Cricetulus griseus: one gene and its partner. The protein of the gene in region 1 purifies or fractionates together with the protein of each later gene. This does not show direct contact. Links are inferred from orthologs where the notes say so. Each region holds a gene or a part of one and is shown on either strand. Other genes may lie near its edges.

The links.
Region 2: the proteins of Pkn3 (region 1) and Arhgap26 purify together in Homo sapiens (affinity purification with mass spectrometry; 3 studies listed by BioGRID and IntAct, with this or other methods). This does not show direct contact. The link is inferred for Cricetulus griseus from reciprocal best matches to the Homo sapiens genes PKN3 and ARHGAP26.

The regions. Positions count from the first base shown.
Region 1 is NC_048599.1:141,742,567-141,750,904, reverse strand, and holds the start of Pkn3 (serine/threonine-protein kinase N3), read right to left. Parts: upstream 4,683-8,338; 5' UTR 4,573-4,682; coding exon 4,546-4,572; intron 4,482-4,545; exon of another isoform or gene 4,311-4,481; intron 4,193-4,310; exon of another isoform or gene 3,999-4,192; intron 3,936-3,998; exon of another isoform or gene 3,617-3,935; coding exon of another isoform or gene 3,602-3,616; intron 2,862-3,601; coding exon 2,633-2,861; intron 2,425-2,632; coding exon 2,279-2,424; intron 1,765-2,278; coding exon 1,456-1,764; intron 1,273-1,455; coding exon 1,089-1,272; intron 1-1,088.
Region 2 is NC_048595.1:198,536,508-198,544,730, forward strand, and holds the start of Arhgap26 (rho GTPase-activating protein 26), read right to left. Parts: upstream 5,564-8,223; coding exon 5,542-5,563; intron 5,061-5,541; coding exon 4,965-5,060; intron 3,369-4,964; coding exon 3,307-3,368; intron 1-3,306. UniProt on the Homo sapiens protein: GTPase-activating protein for RHOA and CDC42. Facilitates mitochondrial quality control by promoting Parkin-mediated recruitment of autophagosomes to damaged mitochondria.

The DNA of each region.
Region 1 (8,338 bases):
CTTCCCAAGGGTTTGGGTTATAGGTGTGTGTGCTCCACACCCAGTTTATATGGTGCTGGGGACTGAACCCAGGGCCTCCCGCACACTAGGGAAGAACTCTACCAACTGCCTCCCACCATTGCCACATCCTTATCTCAAATTCTTTGCCTTTAAACAAACAGTTTTCTCTGTCTTCCTCAGCTTGCTGACTTGACCATAAGCACTCCCACGAGATCTCCAAGCTCAGACTCCACCTCCTCTAAGGAACCCTGATGACCCAAGACCAGGGCCCACACAGATAGATGTCTAGCCACCCCCATGCACTGTTCCCTGCAGCAGGCACCAGCTAGGCTATGCCTTGCAGCTCAGATGATTTGGTGAGTCAGTCAGCTACTGCTACAAGGAGACAGACCTCAGCTCAGGCTATGAGAGAGCTTTCTGGCCAGGCAACGGCACACACCCTTAATCCCAGCACTTGGAAGGCAGAGGCAGGCAGATCTCTGGGTTCAAAGCCAGCCTGGTCTACAGAGTGAGTTCTAGGACAGCCAAGGCTACACAGAGAAACCCTGTCTGGAAAAAACAAAACAAAACAAGAAAAACCCAGAAAAAAAGAAAGAACTTTGTGGTAGCCAGGCTGCCCTGGCCTGGCTCCAAGGCTGGCACGGGAGTGCGCTGACTACCACTACTCCCTACTTTCAGTCACTTGTTTAAATTACATCATATTGGCCAAACGCTGACTGTGCTCAGTGCTGAAGGATAACAAGTTAATTGGACTTACAAGGCAATCTATGAGTCAGTGCTATCAGTATTTTTATTCTTTGTTTGTTTTACTTTGAGTCTGGGTCTCACTATGTAGCTGTGGCTGGCCTGGAACTCAAAGAGATCCACCTGCTTTTTCCTGCCTCCTGAGTTCTGGAGTTAACTCTGGGTTCAAAGCCAGCCTGGTCTACCAGGCTGTGACTACCATCTCTGCTACAAGTGGATAAACTGAGAACCAGAATGGGACTATCAGACAGACCCAAGGTCACACAGCAGCGCTGAACTCTTTCCCAAAGTGCTCCAGGACCCAGGGTCCTCTCCAAGAGGTAAGGGCCCTCCTTTCTACCTACCTGTCAGAGCAATGGGTTTCACAAGTGTCCTTGAAGGCTGGGGGTTCCCGAGCATGGCCATCCGCAGCTCTCGGGTCACCCTGCTGCGCAGCGAATGGGTGGGTGGCAGCCTCTCCAGCAACAAATCCAGGGCCAGCTGTAGGAGGTCTAGCTTCTGGGAGGATTCCTGGAGCTGGGCCTGGGCCTACAATGGAGACACAGGCAGAGACAGACATGAGGTGTGGTGTGAAGGGGACAAATTATGCCTTATGCTTCTCCACCGACACCCAACACAGGCAGCAAGCCCTTGGTGCCAGGCAGCGCTGCACGGCAGACAGAGAGAAGCAGAGCTATAGGAAGAGCAGTAGGCCAGGGGACACAGCCTGACCTCAGCCAGCGCCTTGCGGTCCTGCATTTTCTGGCCACCAAGTAGCTTCACCACATTCTTGGCTCCTGCAGCCACAGCAGCCTCGATTCGCAGTCGGTGCTGTAGCTCCTCCGCTAGCAAGTCAGGGCCTGCAGGAAGGAGGTGAACCCTCAGCCCTGGCCACTGGGTGCCACCCTCCCTGCCTTGAGAGGCCTCACCTGGCTCTGGAGATCCGCTGGTCTCCAGGCTGCTTATCTTCATTCGGAGCAGGGTTACCTTCAGTTGACTATCCTTCAACATCTGCTGGGCAGCTGCCAGGAGCTTCCTTTCCTACAGGGATGTGACACTTGCCCATCAGATCAGGGCTAAGGCTGACCACCAGGGGCTGGAGTTGAGCTCCCCCTGCTATACCAAGGTGGAACCTCCCACAAGGAAGCTGCTACAGACTAGTCTCCCTGTTGATGGGAGGTAATGGGTAGGTAATGGGGTAGGGGCTGCAGGGTGAGTGGAGCCTGACTCCCATCAGGTTGACAAGCTAAGTGTTACAACACCCTGTCAGATGGAGCATGGAGGGTAGAATGCTGAGAGTTGAGCCCGGCAGTTGGGTGGATATTCTGCTAGACTGCTGTTGGGCCTTTACGATAAAGTGGATGGGAATGAATTTTGCTTCACTCACCCAACTAGGATTTAGGGCTGTACTTCCACCATTAGACAAAGGGCTGGGGTTGGGTACCATTTCCCCATTGGCACGGGACCTGGCACTGCCCTCCTAACACCTGAGAGCTAGATCTGTCCCATCAGATCAGAAGGCAGCCTCTGCCTCCAGGCAGACCCCAGCACTTACCTTGTGGGTGCCCCTGGCACACGTGTGAATCATGTTCTCAGCTCCCTGCTTTACCTTCAGCTCCACCTGCAGCTGCCTCTGTAAAACCTCCAAGTGCCGAGCCCTTGACTGCTCTGCCCGCGGCCGGGGTCCTGAGGCCACTGGCTCTGCAGAGAGAAGGTAGGGGATGCACGATCCTGCCACCAAAGTGCAGACCTCTGTAAAGGGCTCTCTCTTCCCTTCTTTCCTGACCAATCAGCAACATGTACGATATAGGGAGGTCAGGTGGTCTTGCCCAGTGGTCTGAGCCAAGGCAAGGATCAGGGTGCCCGTGACTCTCCCATTCCCTGGGGTTTCTTCAGGATCCTCACTCACCAGCTGAGGTTGGCAGCAGAACTCGGGCATGCAGCTCCCGCAGCTCGCCATGCAGCTGCTCCAGGCGGCGGTTGGAGGCCCTCAGCAGCTGCTGCACATGGCCCAAATGGCGTCGGTCTGTGGCCACACGCCGCATGTTCTCCATGCCCTCCTTGATCTTCAATTCCTTCTGGATAGCTCGACGGATCATCTCTTCCTCATCCTCAGGAGGCCTCTGGCCAGTCCCAGGCTGCAAAGGGCAGAGAAGTCATAACCCACCCCCTTCCAAGGGGGAACAAACACAACGGACAGAGCACTGGGGTGTCTTAGAACTCTATAGTGTCTAGCTCTTGTCTTTCTTTCAGAGAGAAGAGAAAGATAATGGATCAGGTTACCATGATGCTTTCTGGGTCCTGAATTCTAGACCAAAGAGCTCTAACAAGTTGAACTCCTTTTGCCTCTTATTTGATAGTGGAGAAAGAACCCAGGGCTTGGAACATGCTAAACAAGAGCTCTGCCACAAATCAACATGCTAGTTCTCATTCCCATTTTAGACAGGAGCAAAGAACAAAGAGAGGTTAAGTGGCTTGTTCACAGAGGCAACACAGAGGAGTGACCACTGTTTATTGAGGGACAGTGACCCCATTCTCTCCTAGCCAGCCATGCTGCTTTCTCTAGGTCTGAGAACCAAATGCAATCTGGGAGGAAACTACAGGCAAGGAATTTACTCAAGGTCACATGCAGGAGGCAGCCAGTGGCCCAAGACACCAAAACTTGTTTCTTCTGCCTTAGACAGTGTGGCAGACAGGTGGTGAAGCAGAGGTGCTAGAGGGAGCTGAGGAGGTCTGGACTGCTCAGAGCCGGCAGGAAGGAAAAGAGCCCCTCAACCGTTCACCAGGTTAGAGGCAGGGGGAGACAACCTCTCAGAGGCTGAGAGGGAAGCCCCTGCTGACCCCCCTCATGGCAGCCACCCTATTTTATTCCTCTTACCTCTCTGTGTTCCATCTCCTTAGCCCCATAAAAGAATAGCTACTCAGTTTAGGGGCTCCCAACCCCCCAACTCCAGGCCTCGGCTAAACTGCCTTAGCTCTCAGAGGGCAGGGCCAGGGCGAGGCTCAGGAAATCCTTTGACCGCCCCAGGCAAGAAGGCCAGAGCCAAAGGCCTGAGCAAACAAAGCTGTCCCAGAGCTGGGGGCCTGCTGGCCACCAGGGTCCTGAGTCACCACGCTGCTGCTGCTGCCGCAGGGCGGCGGCTCACAGGAAATCGGAAAATGTGTACAAGTCACTGCTAGAAAGGCCAAGAGGGATCTCTGGAAGAAGAGTACTGGGAGGCGTGCAGGCTGCCTGAGCCGTTTATGTACCCGTGTCTACCATACCTCACCCATACCTCATGTTTTGACTTGGCACTGGATGTCCCGCCCCATCTCTAACTACCCTGAGGTAGGACACTCTCTCCCTTCTTAAGGGACACATCTAACCGGAGCCCCTCCACATTGTGGGCCCCTCTGTGGACCCAAGGGTTCCCTGCACATTGCTAGGCCAGGTGCCTCTGGTGGCGAGAAAGTGGTCTTGCTTGTGGGTGTGGTGTGTTGGAGAGAACGCCCACCAAGAGCCCAGTCCCACCCTCCCCAACGCTCGCAGCTTCTCCCCCAAGATTCCTCTAGGAGGGCCGGCACCCCAACCTCTGCCAAATTCCCACCCGTCTGCAAGTCTCCAGAAAACTGATTTTTAAAGAACTTGAGACTCAGCCTCAAGGCACATTCCAGTTTCAGGCATGCTGCCGAGCTGGATCTCCGTCACTCTGGGGACCAGAGCGTCTTATCCCAGGGCACAGATCCTGGCCCGCGCAGAGGTCATCAGAGACCGGAGTGGGGTGGACCCGAGCGTGGGGCGCCCTGAGCTGCAAACGCGGCCGCTGCGCGCGCTCGGTTCACCTGGAGCGCCGCCCCATTCTGCTCCATGGCGTTGCGCCGGCCAGTCCTCTCCTTCACTACGGTTCCGGAAGCCCGGGCCTCTGCGCCGGACTTTCAAACTTGAAACTTCCCGGGAAGCGGCGCGGTACACGCGGGATCGGGCGCCCCCTCCCGAGACCCGCGCGCCCGGCAGGTGTGGGGAGCAGCGCCCCCTCCCGGCCGTGCGAGAGCAGCGCCCAGGACCCTATAAACGAGTTGAGCTCCGCGGATCTCGTGTCCCCTTCCTGATTTAATCGCTCACGCTCTGCACCAGAGCTGATCTTCCTAGAGATGGAAGGCCGGGCACCATTTCTGCACGAGCTTTGCCCGCAGCGTGCAACGGGGGCTTGAGCCCGGTGCGGATTAAACCTTGATCCAAATTATGGCCAGATACAAATAAGATATGAACCACCTCTGGCTCGTTGCGAAGAGTTTGCTGACTCAGCCGGAGCCGATGTTCTGACTTTACCTTTACCATAGTTTAAGTCCGTAGGGTCTGGGGAGGGAGTTCAATAAAGTGCTGCAAGGCAAGCTCAAGGATTCAATCAATTTCCCGAATCTGCATATTTTTTTAAAAAGTGAGGGTAGGAGACTTCTCAGATGAGTGGGTTTTGCCCGGAGCACAGCGAGTTGAGTGCTTGCCCAAGAGATGGGATGGGGGTCAGAGAGCGGTTAAGACCCTGTGTGCCTGGTGGAGAGGGCCAGATTGAACTGGTTGGCGTTGTCCAAACATACTATATCCAGGCCTTCAATCCTAGCACTTGAAAGGCAGAGGCAGGAAGATCTTTGTGAGTTCGAGGACAACCTGGTCTACAAAGTGAGTTCCAGGACAGCCAGTGATACACAGGGAAACCCAGTCTTGAAAAAAAAAAAAAAAACAAAACCAAAAAAAAAAAAAAAAAAAAAGCGTGCCACAATACCCAGATAGGGGACTACTTTCTTTTTGTTTTTTGAGACAAGGTTACTCTCTGTAGACCAGGCTGGTCTTGAACTCATAGAGATCTGACTGGGTCTGCCTCTGCCTCCTGAGTGCTAGGATTAAAGGACTGTGTCACCACCACACAGCTCTAGTATTTCTTTATGTGCACCATTTGGATGTCTGGTATCTTTGGAGGTCAGAGTCATCAGATCTCCTGGAACTGGAGTCATGAACCCCCATGGGGTGCTGGGAATGAAACCCTTAGTCCTTTTCAGGAGCAAGTGATGTAAAGCACTGACCCATTTCTTCTGCAGCCCCCAATTCTTTTTCTTTTTCTTTTTTTTTTTTTTTTTGAGGCAGGGTTTCTCCGTAGCCTTGGAGTCTGTCCTCGAACTCACTCTGTATAGACCATGCTGGCCTCACACTCACAGAGATCTGCCTGCTTCTGCTTGGGACTAAAGGTGTGCGCCACCGCCCAGCTGAGCCAAGGTCTTAACAAACAACCCTGGGATTAAATGGTACCTTGCAGGGTTTCATCTTCCATTTAAAAGAACCTCTGGTTACAAGTAAAAGGACTTCAGTTTACGAAAAACAAACAAACAAAAACAAAAAAACACGAATCAGACTAGTAAATTTCTCTCCGAGCTGCCCAGTGTTACAGTTCACTGGTTGAGAGGGTGTGTCCTCACATGCCTGTAATTCCAACACTCAGGTGGCTTTTTTGAGCCAAAAATAAATAAAATGAATAAATAAAAATAAATAAAATGAATAAAAATGGAGAAGTAAGCAAATAAATTGATTCAGAACTCTCCTTTAGACCAGTGGCTCCCTGTGTAAAAGGGTTTTGCTGCCAGTAACAAAATCCCTTAACACTGATGATGTAGAGAACCAACTCACACAAAGTCCTTTGACTCGCATGCATGCACATTTTTTTGGGTTTTTCCAGACAGGGTTTCTGTGTGGCTTTGGAGGCTCTCCTGGAACTAGCTCTTGTAGGCCAGGCTGGTCTTGAACTCAGAGATCCGCCCGCCTCTGCCTCCCGAGTGCTGGAGATGGTGTTTTACTATGCATTTCTGATTAGCTTTGTTCTCTCAGTGCTAATTACAGGCATGTATTACCATCCCCAGACCTGGCTGTCTTGGAACTCTATTACCAAACTGTCCTCAAACTTAAGAGATCTGCCTGCCTCTGCCAGCCCAGTACTGGGGTTAAAGGCTCCTGTATTACAATTTTTTTTTAAGTGAATAAAAGTCAGGCAGTGGTGACTCACACCTGTAATCCTAGTACTCTAGAGGCAGGGCAGGCAGATCTCTGAGTTTGGGGCTAGCCTGGTCTACAGAGCAAGTTCCAGTACAGTCAAAACCACACAGAGAAACCCTGTCTCAAAATGAATAAAAAAGAATTTATGCACTGGTCAGTGGTGTCACACATTTGGAGGCAGAAACAGGTGGGTGTCTGAGCTCAACGATAACCTAGTCTACAGAGTCCCAGGGTAGTCAAGGCCACACAGCAATCGTCTTGGAAAGTATTTGCACATGTGACTGCAGACTCCAATCCCCACTCCATGGCATTGACTGGATCCCCTGAAGTAGTTTACAGGTGGCTAAAGGCTTCTATCTTGGTGTTTTTTATGCAGGGAGTAGTCAAATGCTGGATTTTGCACAAGCCTGGCAAAACCCTGCAAGGATGCAAACCCCCCAGCGCCTCCTATATACTACTTCAGCACCAGGAAACTGAATGACATGGTCAGGTGCCTCACATGGAGAGAAAAGGAGTCAAGGTCCCATTAAGGCATCTGCAAGAGTAATGCCCAGTCTGCTGGAACTTTGCTCAAATACTCAGGCAGACTGCAAGCCCACCACCCAGCACACAACTTCACAGCTGACTTACCTTTACAATATTGGAGACATCTTCCCAGATGTACTTCTCCCCACTAGTGCAGCTATTTTAGGTCTTTCAGGGCAGACATTACCTATCAAGCTGGTGAGCATCCCAAAATTGCTAGGTTTCTTACTCTATATAACCATAATCCACTAGACCGGATTAAAATTGGTCACAAGCATTTTTATGTACCAGACTTTGAAGCCTACCAGCCATGTCAGGTAGCTCAACTCTAATTCCAATTAGATTCAATGCCCCCCTCTGGTGAGCGTGGGCGCTCATGTACACACATGCACACACTTAGATATTATACACAGGAAGTAAAGATACAGCACACATTCACAGAAAGGCTTGTCAAAGTATTTTTAATTTTGTTTTGGATGTTTTAGCTCCATATCTGTGCATCATGCATATGCAAAGAGGTCAGCAGAGTGCCATTTGATGCTTTAGGACGCTTCCATGGGTGCTGAGAAATAAACTCGGTGCTTAAACTTCCATATGCACAGGCTATGTTGGAACTCCTTCTGTAGACCAGGCTGGCCTTGAACAGATCAGCCTGCTTTCTACCAAAGCAAATGGAGCTTTGAGGATGGGTTTATGTGTAGGCCAGCCTGCCTCTGCCTGTCACAGGAATGCAACTGTTATCAGCACACTGGCTCTTGAAGTCACTTGGCTATCCTGTGGGACCCTGAACTGGTAATATCTTCAGGAAGTTCTGTGCTGGCACAGTTGGCCTAACAATCCCCCGCAATCTTTCTTTCTCTTTTCTGAGATAAGGTCACCCTCCTGAAACTCATTTTGACTCTTTGTAAAACAGTATGGCCCACTTTGCTAGTCCTCTCATACTTCATACACCCTTTAAGGCTAGCCCAGAATCCCTCTGGCATAGCTAAGCCCAGGAACCTGTTAGGCTTTCTCCTCTTAATCCTTGAGATTCCTATGTTCAAAGAATAGAATGACAATATCTGGGGTTGA
Region 2 (8,223 bases), on another chromosome or scaffold:
TCAAGTGACATTCATTCAAGCTACAGGCAAAGTACATCAACAGTGAGTCTCAGTGAAAATCTGAAACACCTTTGGACCATCTATGGAAAAGACCTTTCAAGCATAATGAACTCCTTAGGGAATTAACTGGGGCTGAGACTCCTGCATCCTGACCATTGGCTGACTCCCTACTGTATTGTCCAGGGCTCAAGCATCAGTTCCCACACTCTGATTTACTGTCACACCAACAGACCTCAAATGCACCAAATCTGTCCTACTGTGGGCCCTTTGTCGATGTTCTCTCTGAAGCTCTTTATGATCAGGGTTTCGGTTTGAAGGTTACTTCTCTGTGAGGGCCTTCCCTGACCTCTAAGGCTGTAATTCAGAGAAGCAGTCCATAAACCCAGCCTTTTGGAACGCATATGCCAGGTAGTTTTCTAGCTCAGGACTATCTCCTGACACATACAATGCCCCTGAAAATACTCACTCATCCCCCAGTATTCCCAAAGCACCAAAGAAACCAGAAACAAAGGCCCGCTCAAACACTTCTGAATGGCTAAATGAGTGAGTGAATGACTCCTTGGCAAGCTGCCAAGTGTGTGACCATGAACAAAACATTTAAATCCTCTGGACTCTAATTTCCTAATCCAGAAAAATGAGGGGGCTGAATTGCTCCAGCTCTAAGTGTCTACAGCCTTTTCTAAACCAGAGCAATATTTTACGATCTTTACTCATTGCTCAGCCTTCTCTCAACTAGTTATTTCAAGAATCTCACTTCAACAAAGCATCATTTTCCCTAAATCATATGCATGCCCTTCACAACAGCAACAGCACAGTAAATGCCAGAGGCTCTGGATGGACATAGTAAAGAACTGCCTGGACAATGTGAGGGACAGGAAAGGGCGGATCTCCATATTTTTCCCATTTGCCTGTTTCTTATTTTTGAAAGCACTCACCTCTGCAGAGTACCTTTTAACACTGCAGTAGCGAACGCACCTGATTTTCATTGCTAACAGGTATTGTTTAATTAGTTTATGTAGGTCTTTCCCATAAATCAACTGCAAGTTCCTGAAGCTCACAAAGGTGTGCCGAGCCAGTGGATGAGTGGTTTTCAACTTCAGCTGCACACAAGATCCCAAGAGGAGCTTTTACAAATCCCGGGAGCCAGGTCATGCTTGAGTCTAATAACTCAGTCTCTAGTCCTGATCCCAGACATGGGTGTTTGTGAAGAACCTCAGGTTATTCCAGTGGGCACCCATGCTGCAATGCTAGCCCTAAGGAAACTTGGAATATGCAAGCACCCAGGTGCTCTCAGAGGAAGCAGGACAACCAGTCCTCATTCTGGGACTATTAGCATTGTCAGTTTTAGTCCTCATCCCAGTGTTGTTAACACTGTCAGTCTGGACAAGACCTGAGTTCTCATCTATCAAAAGAGAGACTGCAGACAGTAAGGAGTAGCTGGACTAACAGTAGAGCACAGGGGCCATTCTCTGCCCTCAAGGAACTCATATTTACTTAGCCACACAAGGCCATTCTGTGCCATCAAGGAACTCGTGTTTACTAGCCACACAGATGCCAGCAGTAATGGTCCAGACACATGTGGTAAATGCAGAATCCGGGGAATGAACCCAATGTTTAGAAAACACAATGGACAGCCAAATATCCCAGAGAGCCATGGCTCCCCAGAAGGGTACAGCTTTGCTGAGCTGAGCTAAACTGATGATAAAGCAATCCCAGGGTGAGCAGGGTGGGAAGATGGCCAGGATACTCAGAGGCAGACAGCAGAAAGGAATAATAAAATTGCAGAGGCAAGTTGAAAAAGCATAATCCAGTCATTGTTGCCCCTACCACAGGCCACAGCAATCTGCAGGGTATTCATGGCGATTTGCTTACCTCACCCCCACCCCTAAATATTGGCATGACCCTGAATCAGACTCGAAAGAGTCATTTCCCTTTCTCGGGCACATGTACACTCAAGCTTTCACCTCCTTCTACCTACCACCACACCTGTCGCTGCCACTGGTGCTCCAACTTGGGTTCAAGCAAACATCAGTCAGTAGTCAGAAGAGGTTGGGTCTCTGCCAGGCAAAGGGTAGGGGTTTCTATTCTCTTGGAATTTTAAAGAAATCCCCACAACTTTTGGTATAATACCGATTTGAGTTTGAATGGAAACTGCACAACTTATTACACATGTGAGCCTGGACAGGCAATTTGGACCCTGTAAACCTCAGGATCTTCATCTGGAAAACAAGGATAGCGCAGATGGGACTTCAGAGTTATCACAAGAGCTACAGAGAACAGGTCAGGCTCTGGCTTCAGTCTTGGTAACTACAAGCTCATGCTGTCAGTAAATGCTACAGAAAGAGAAGAAAAACACTCCAATTTTGCCATCCTTTTGGCACTGTCTACCTGGAGATGAGCCCCTACCCCAACCCCAGGTACAAGGCAGCATGAAGTCTGCTAGGGGCTTCTAAACAGACTTCACTCCCGCTATCTGGGGGATGGGAGAAATGCAAAGGGACCCCACCCATTAATGCTGAAAGACTTCACAACAGAGGCTGGTTTGAAAGCACTGTTTTGGAACCTAGAGGTCAGCAGGCTTCCTGAATTTGCAGACTCCATTTCTGAGGAGCTCCCACAGTTACATTCTTGCCTGGTTACATTTTCTGGTTGCCAGCTACATGGCAGATGCCTTGGGGTTAGAGCGAAGCAGTGATGCCTTCCCTCAAATGGCCACTGGGTGGGTTTAATAAGACATAGAGAAGCAGACTAGGACACATGCTTTTCTCTTTCTGCCAAATACCCAAAAGTGAATTCAGACCAAAGCACCACCCTAAAGTCATGTATGTATGCATGTGTGTGTGTGCATGCGTGCCAAAGGTTAACACTAATGCTATCCCTCAGTTATTTGTCCACTTTCCATCTTACTTTTTGAGAGATTCTTCTCCTGATGCTGGAACTCACCAATTTGGACAGACTGACTGGCCAGCAAACCCTAGGGATTACAGGCGTGCACCATTCAACCCAGCTTGTTTACATGGGTGCTGGGGACCTGAACTAGGGTCCTCACACTTATGCTGTGAGTGCCTTACTAACTGAATGACCTCCCCAGACCTACAGTGAATCTTGAGGATGATGATACTCTTCCAAAGTTAAGCACTGGTAATTCTTTAACATTCACAGAAAGCTTCAAATTCTGCAAAGGTTCACAGCCTCAGAGGACGCCAAAGGCAGTCTCGACTTAAACCTGGGTCTTCTAACAGCAAATTCCTTGCTCTCTCGAGGTACATAGACTGTCTGGGACCAGGAGAAGCCGAGGATACTCACCATGCGACTCCGCTCATCTTCAAGATTCCTGAGAACAGTGGCAAATTCTTGCAAAGATCTCGCTGGAAGAAAGAAAGAAGCCATGAACTGAAAGCATTATGACAGGTATGCAAAAGCAACTTACAGATTTAAATTCCTTATGCACACAGATGCCCAAAGTCAACTGCTGTCTGCAGATTCCCTCGTCTTTTAATCATTAACCACTGAAGACAGGATGACCCAGAAAGGCAGGTTAATTGCTCCTGGAAGACCAGCTAGAGGATTTCTCCAAGAAAAAGACCCGCCTATTCCTGAGCATTCCCAGGACTGCTGAGGGCTGGCAGGCTCCCAGCCCTGGGACTGAAAGGGGCAGAGTTCCACTAAGGAGCCGAAGGATTTCCTGTCCAGGATTCAACCTCTTCAATCTTTGTTGCTGAGCTGCATCAGAATCCAACCTTTTCTTTGGCATGACAACTATACAAACAGTTCTGCGGGCAACAGAAGCCACATCTCTGGCATCTCCTTAGGCTCCTTCTCCCGGAGTTCTGAAGCCACTCATTAGTAGAATGCAGCCTGAAGCACAGCCATCAAACACAGATGGTCTCTGCTGGAATCTTTCATGAAGGCACCAGACACTTGGTGAAGTAGCCCCAGGACTTTAGGATACTTGGGCAATGCTGGAAAAGCATCATGGCTTACAACAAGGACACATTTTCATTGTTCTCACCTACATCCCAGATGTCTTTGCTCATACCCAAATCCTGGTGTTCTGTTTGGCAACAGACTCAAAAATCATCCCAACAACTTTAACTTTCTCGATTCTTTATTTCTTTGGTATTGGGAATTGAACCCAGATACTCACATACACCAAGTATGTGTTCTACCATCAGGCTAGAATCCTAGTCCCAACTCTTCTTAGTTCTCCCTCCCTTTAGAGCATCAACCAAGATGCCCAATATAAGAAAAAAGAAAAGAATATGAGACCCTAGCAAAGTGATGAGTCTTGGCTGCACCATTGCTCTGTGCTCAGAGCAGCCTATGGAAGAGAGCAGTAAAGAGGGAAGCAGTTCAGCATGGTAATATTCAGGAGCTCACCTCCACCTCTCAGTAAGGAAACTACAGAAGAAAGAGGTGGGGACACAGGGAGATAGCCACTGAGCTCTGCTCCCACACAGCAGGGAGTGACAGTTACATGGCTCCAGCCAGCTGTTACCAGGCCAAAATGGAAGGCTGCTAGATCAAACTTGTAAAATTTTAAAAGAAAAAGAAAAACAAGTTGAGATAAATTCAACTTACATGGTAATTCAGTTTAAAATAAAAAATCAACTAAAACATTATGCTTTCTCATCTCAGTCCATTAGCTAACACTGCAACCTTGATCCAACTCTCTTTATCATCTGCATTCATTCTTGTCTTAGGTTCTTAGTACTGTGGTTGGGTAAGGGGAAAAAAGGAATGGATAAGAGCACCATCACAGAACTCCCAGCTTCCTCCTGCATCCTCCAGTTTCCTGGACAGAGAGTGAGGTCAAGGCAAGGGGAGGCCCCATCCTGGCCTTCCTATCTGTGCCTTCCAGTACCCACTGGATTTCTACCTTTACTATTAGGCCTCCTTGCCCAGGAGAAGGCTTTCTGGGATGAACAGCAAATGTTCCCATCTCCCATGAGGTTATGACTCACCTATACACATCTCATCATCTGTTTCTGCATCTCCTATACACTGAAATTTAAATTCATTTAAGGAATCTGCAAACTTCCGCTTTGCTGAAGACAAATCTAACAAGAAAAAGAGAAAAAGACAAATTATTGAAATTAAATTGGCCTTCATAGTTGCTGCCCTTTTTAAGTCCTTCTGTGTATACTTAGCAAGGTTTGTTGCTGAGATCATTTCACGGAAGAGAAGTTAACTCAAAATGGTAAATACCTTTTTATGTAACAACACATTATATAAAGTATTGACTTGCTCTAGTTAACATTTTTATTGTAACTGCTTTAACAATTCGAATCCTATGGGATAAAGATATAATCCAGTGGTAAAGTGCTAGCCTGGCACTCCAAGGCCCTGGGTTTGATTCCCAGCACCACAATGGAGGTGTGTATATATACATACAAACAATATTTTTAATCATATGTTTGCTTCCTCAAAACACATTGAGACCTATCATCGCCATTTGACACATGGGAATCTCGCCACTTAAGGAGAACAAGGAGGAAGCCTGGATCAGAAACAACATCAGTCCCCGGAGCCTACAGGTACATGCTATGCTGCCACCTTCCATGTGGTCAGTACAGCTTCCCCCATGTGTGGCTCTAACACATTTTGTAGCTCAAAAGGAAAAGCAGGAAGAGCCTGTGTTGCTGCCTCCAGGTATAAGCACACCTAGCTTCCTCTTCCAACTAAAGACAGACAAGGGCCAAGTTCTCAGACCCTCTCTGACCCATTCTCATTAGTCAACAGCTTGACAAATTTCCATTAGAGGCATTTTCCACAGTCACCAGAGGAATGAAGCCCTGGCAATGTTTTGTATTGGGATTTCCTTAAGAAGCCAACCCCACACATGGTATCTATCATGAAAACTCTCTGGGGCCCTTGTCAAATTTAAAATCTAAACTTTCTTTTAAGACAGTAATAAAAGCCAATGATCCTTCCTGAGCCCTCAGCTTCTGTTCAGGGCATAAAATCACCAAGGTACTGTTAAGTGGCCTGACAGACAAGGCTGCTCAGTACGACTTGCTTAACTTAATTCCACATGCAGCCTTCCTGCAGATTAGGCTAATCATTCAAATTACCATCTATCCAGGCTTCCCTCATTGAAGAGGAAATGGCATTAAGTTTAAACTCCCAGTGGAGGGTAATAGGAGGCATAACTGGTAACAAGGCCTGGATTTAATAAGATGGGAAGTTCTGGCTTCCAGGATCAATGTGACCCCTAAATAGAAGCATCCCTTCCATCAGCTGAAGGTCATTTAGGTTGTTTCCATTCCCTAGCTATTGTGAATAATATTGAGTTCTTCCATATATGTCCAAGGAGTATTATAGTTGGGTCATATGGTAGACTTATTTTTTAGCTTTTTTGAGCTTGGGGTGTTTGTGTGTGTGTGTGAGAGTGTGTGTGTGTGTGTGTGTGTGTGTGTGTGTGTGAGAGAGAGAGAGAGAGAGAGAGAGAGAGAGAGAGAGAGAGAGAGAGAGAGATAACTAAAGAAAAAGAGGCCATGAATTTGAGAGAAAACAAGGGAGACACACAGGAGGGATTTGAAGGGCAGGAGTAGAGGAAAAATGAGGCAATTATATGGCAATTTCAAAACAATTTTTAAAAGTATTCAGTTCTTCCTTCTTTAGCTCCCATTTTCTCCTTTAAGTTAAAGGTGATGATTATCAGTGTTTGATTGTTTTGGTTTGCCTCTTCTCCTGGTATGTACAGTGCAATCTGCTTGGAGTTTGTTGAACAAATGACAAAGAGGCATAATTTACAAATCTAGCCCCTAGTGTCCCTTCCAAGCCAGAGCTGTTAGTATAGGCTCTGGGTTGGGGCTGAGGGCAGGGGTGGGGGATGCTACTGTCATCAGTCTGGAGCTCACACTACTGACTAGATGTTAAACCAGGACCCAGAGGGCATGGATCCTAGGCAAGCCAATCTGTTCTACAACACAATAGGAGGCACTCAGGGTGGAAAAGAACACAGGATCCAATTTCCAACCCCTCCCTGGTACAGATGCTTTCATGGAAGAGTCCTTAATAAACCGTCCAAATAAGACAGCAGGGAACTAGGCTTCTCTTAGAAGAAGAGGGAATCCTTCAGAACACAGTTCATCCTGGCAAGCCTGAAATTCAGAACACTGTGGGGAGGAAGGAAACTTGAGACTCCTGACAGGCCAGAGAGGAAAAAGAAAGGGTGTCATTTCAAAGTGGAAGAGAAGGACCCCAGAAGCCCTAAAGCACAAGCACAATAAATGTGAGTGTGGCTGAACGTAGTCACATTTTAGTTCAAAGGTACCCTTGATGAGAACTCAAAAAATGAGGCCTGAGCAAACAGTGTGAGCAGGATCACTTCACCGCTGGCTTGGCAGTCCTCTGCCTCTCCAACAGCACAATCACCTCCACAAAGGAGAAACAAGTGAAATGCAAACTGAGTTGGGACAAGTTTCCAGGGTGCTCCTAAAAGTGTGGGTGGCCAGCAGCTGCCAATAAGGATGAAGGACCAGCTCATGACGAACAGGGCCTCTGGGGGCCCTTCTAAAAGTGCTGCCTTGCCAGGTCACAGGCAGAAAGAAACCTGATTTCACTGCCTGGTGGCCCACAGCAGATGGAGAGGCTAGATCTGGGCCTGGTGGAAGATGAGGTAATGAGCTGTGATGGAGTCAATACAAGGCTCCGGGCCAGGGAGGACAGCTGAATGGAATGAGTATTTCAGAGCCTGTGACCTGGAAGGGAGCTCACCTTGGACCTAGTAGAGAAGTCTTTCAGGGAAACAACAGTAGGCACCTATTTTTTCGCTTGCTCAGCATCTGTGTTTGGCTGAGGCACAGTATCTCCAGCTTCCTTAAGGGAACTACCCCTCTCCACTTGCATCCTATGAGACTCTGGTTATACAATGATCAATCCCAAACTCTTGCTTCCACTCCACCAGCTTTGGATCCTGGGTTCAAGTTACAACTTGTGTATTAGCTATGCCCCCAGATGAGTTAAAAAGGGCCAATCATTGGATAGAGCCTGGGGGTTGCCCCACAAGTGCAGGAGATCTACTATATAAACACTTTGCATAATTGTGACTCATCAGTCCTCTGGACTGAGGTCCCTGAAATATGTGGGGACTCAATACTGCACCCCTGCAGTTGAGATAGTCCCTCTGTGGTATTTGGGACGATGGTGAAGACATAAAGTAAGGATACTCAAAAATCACTGCTTCTTGCCTATTTCAACACAAAAGTATTGCTGATA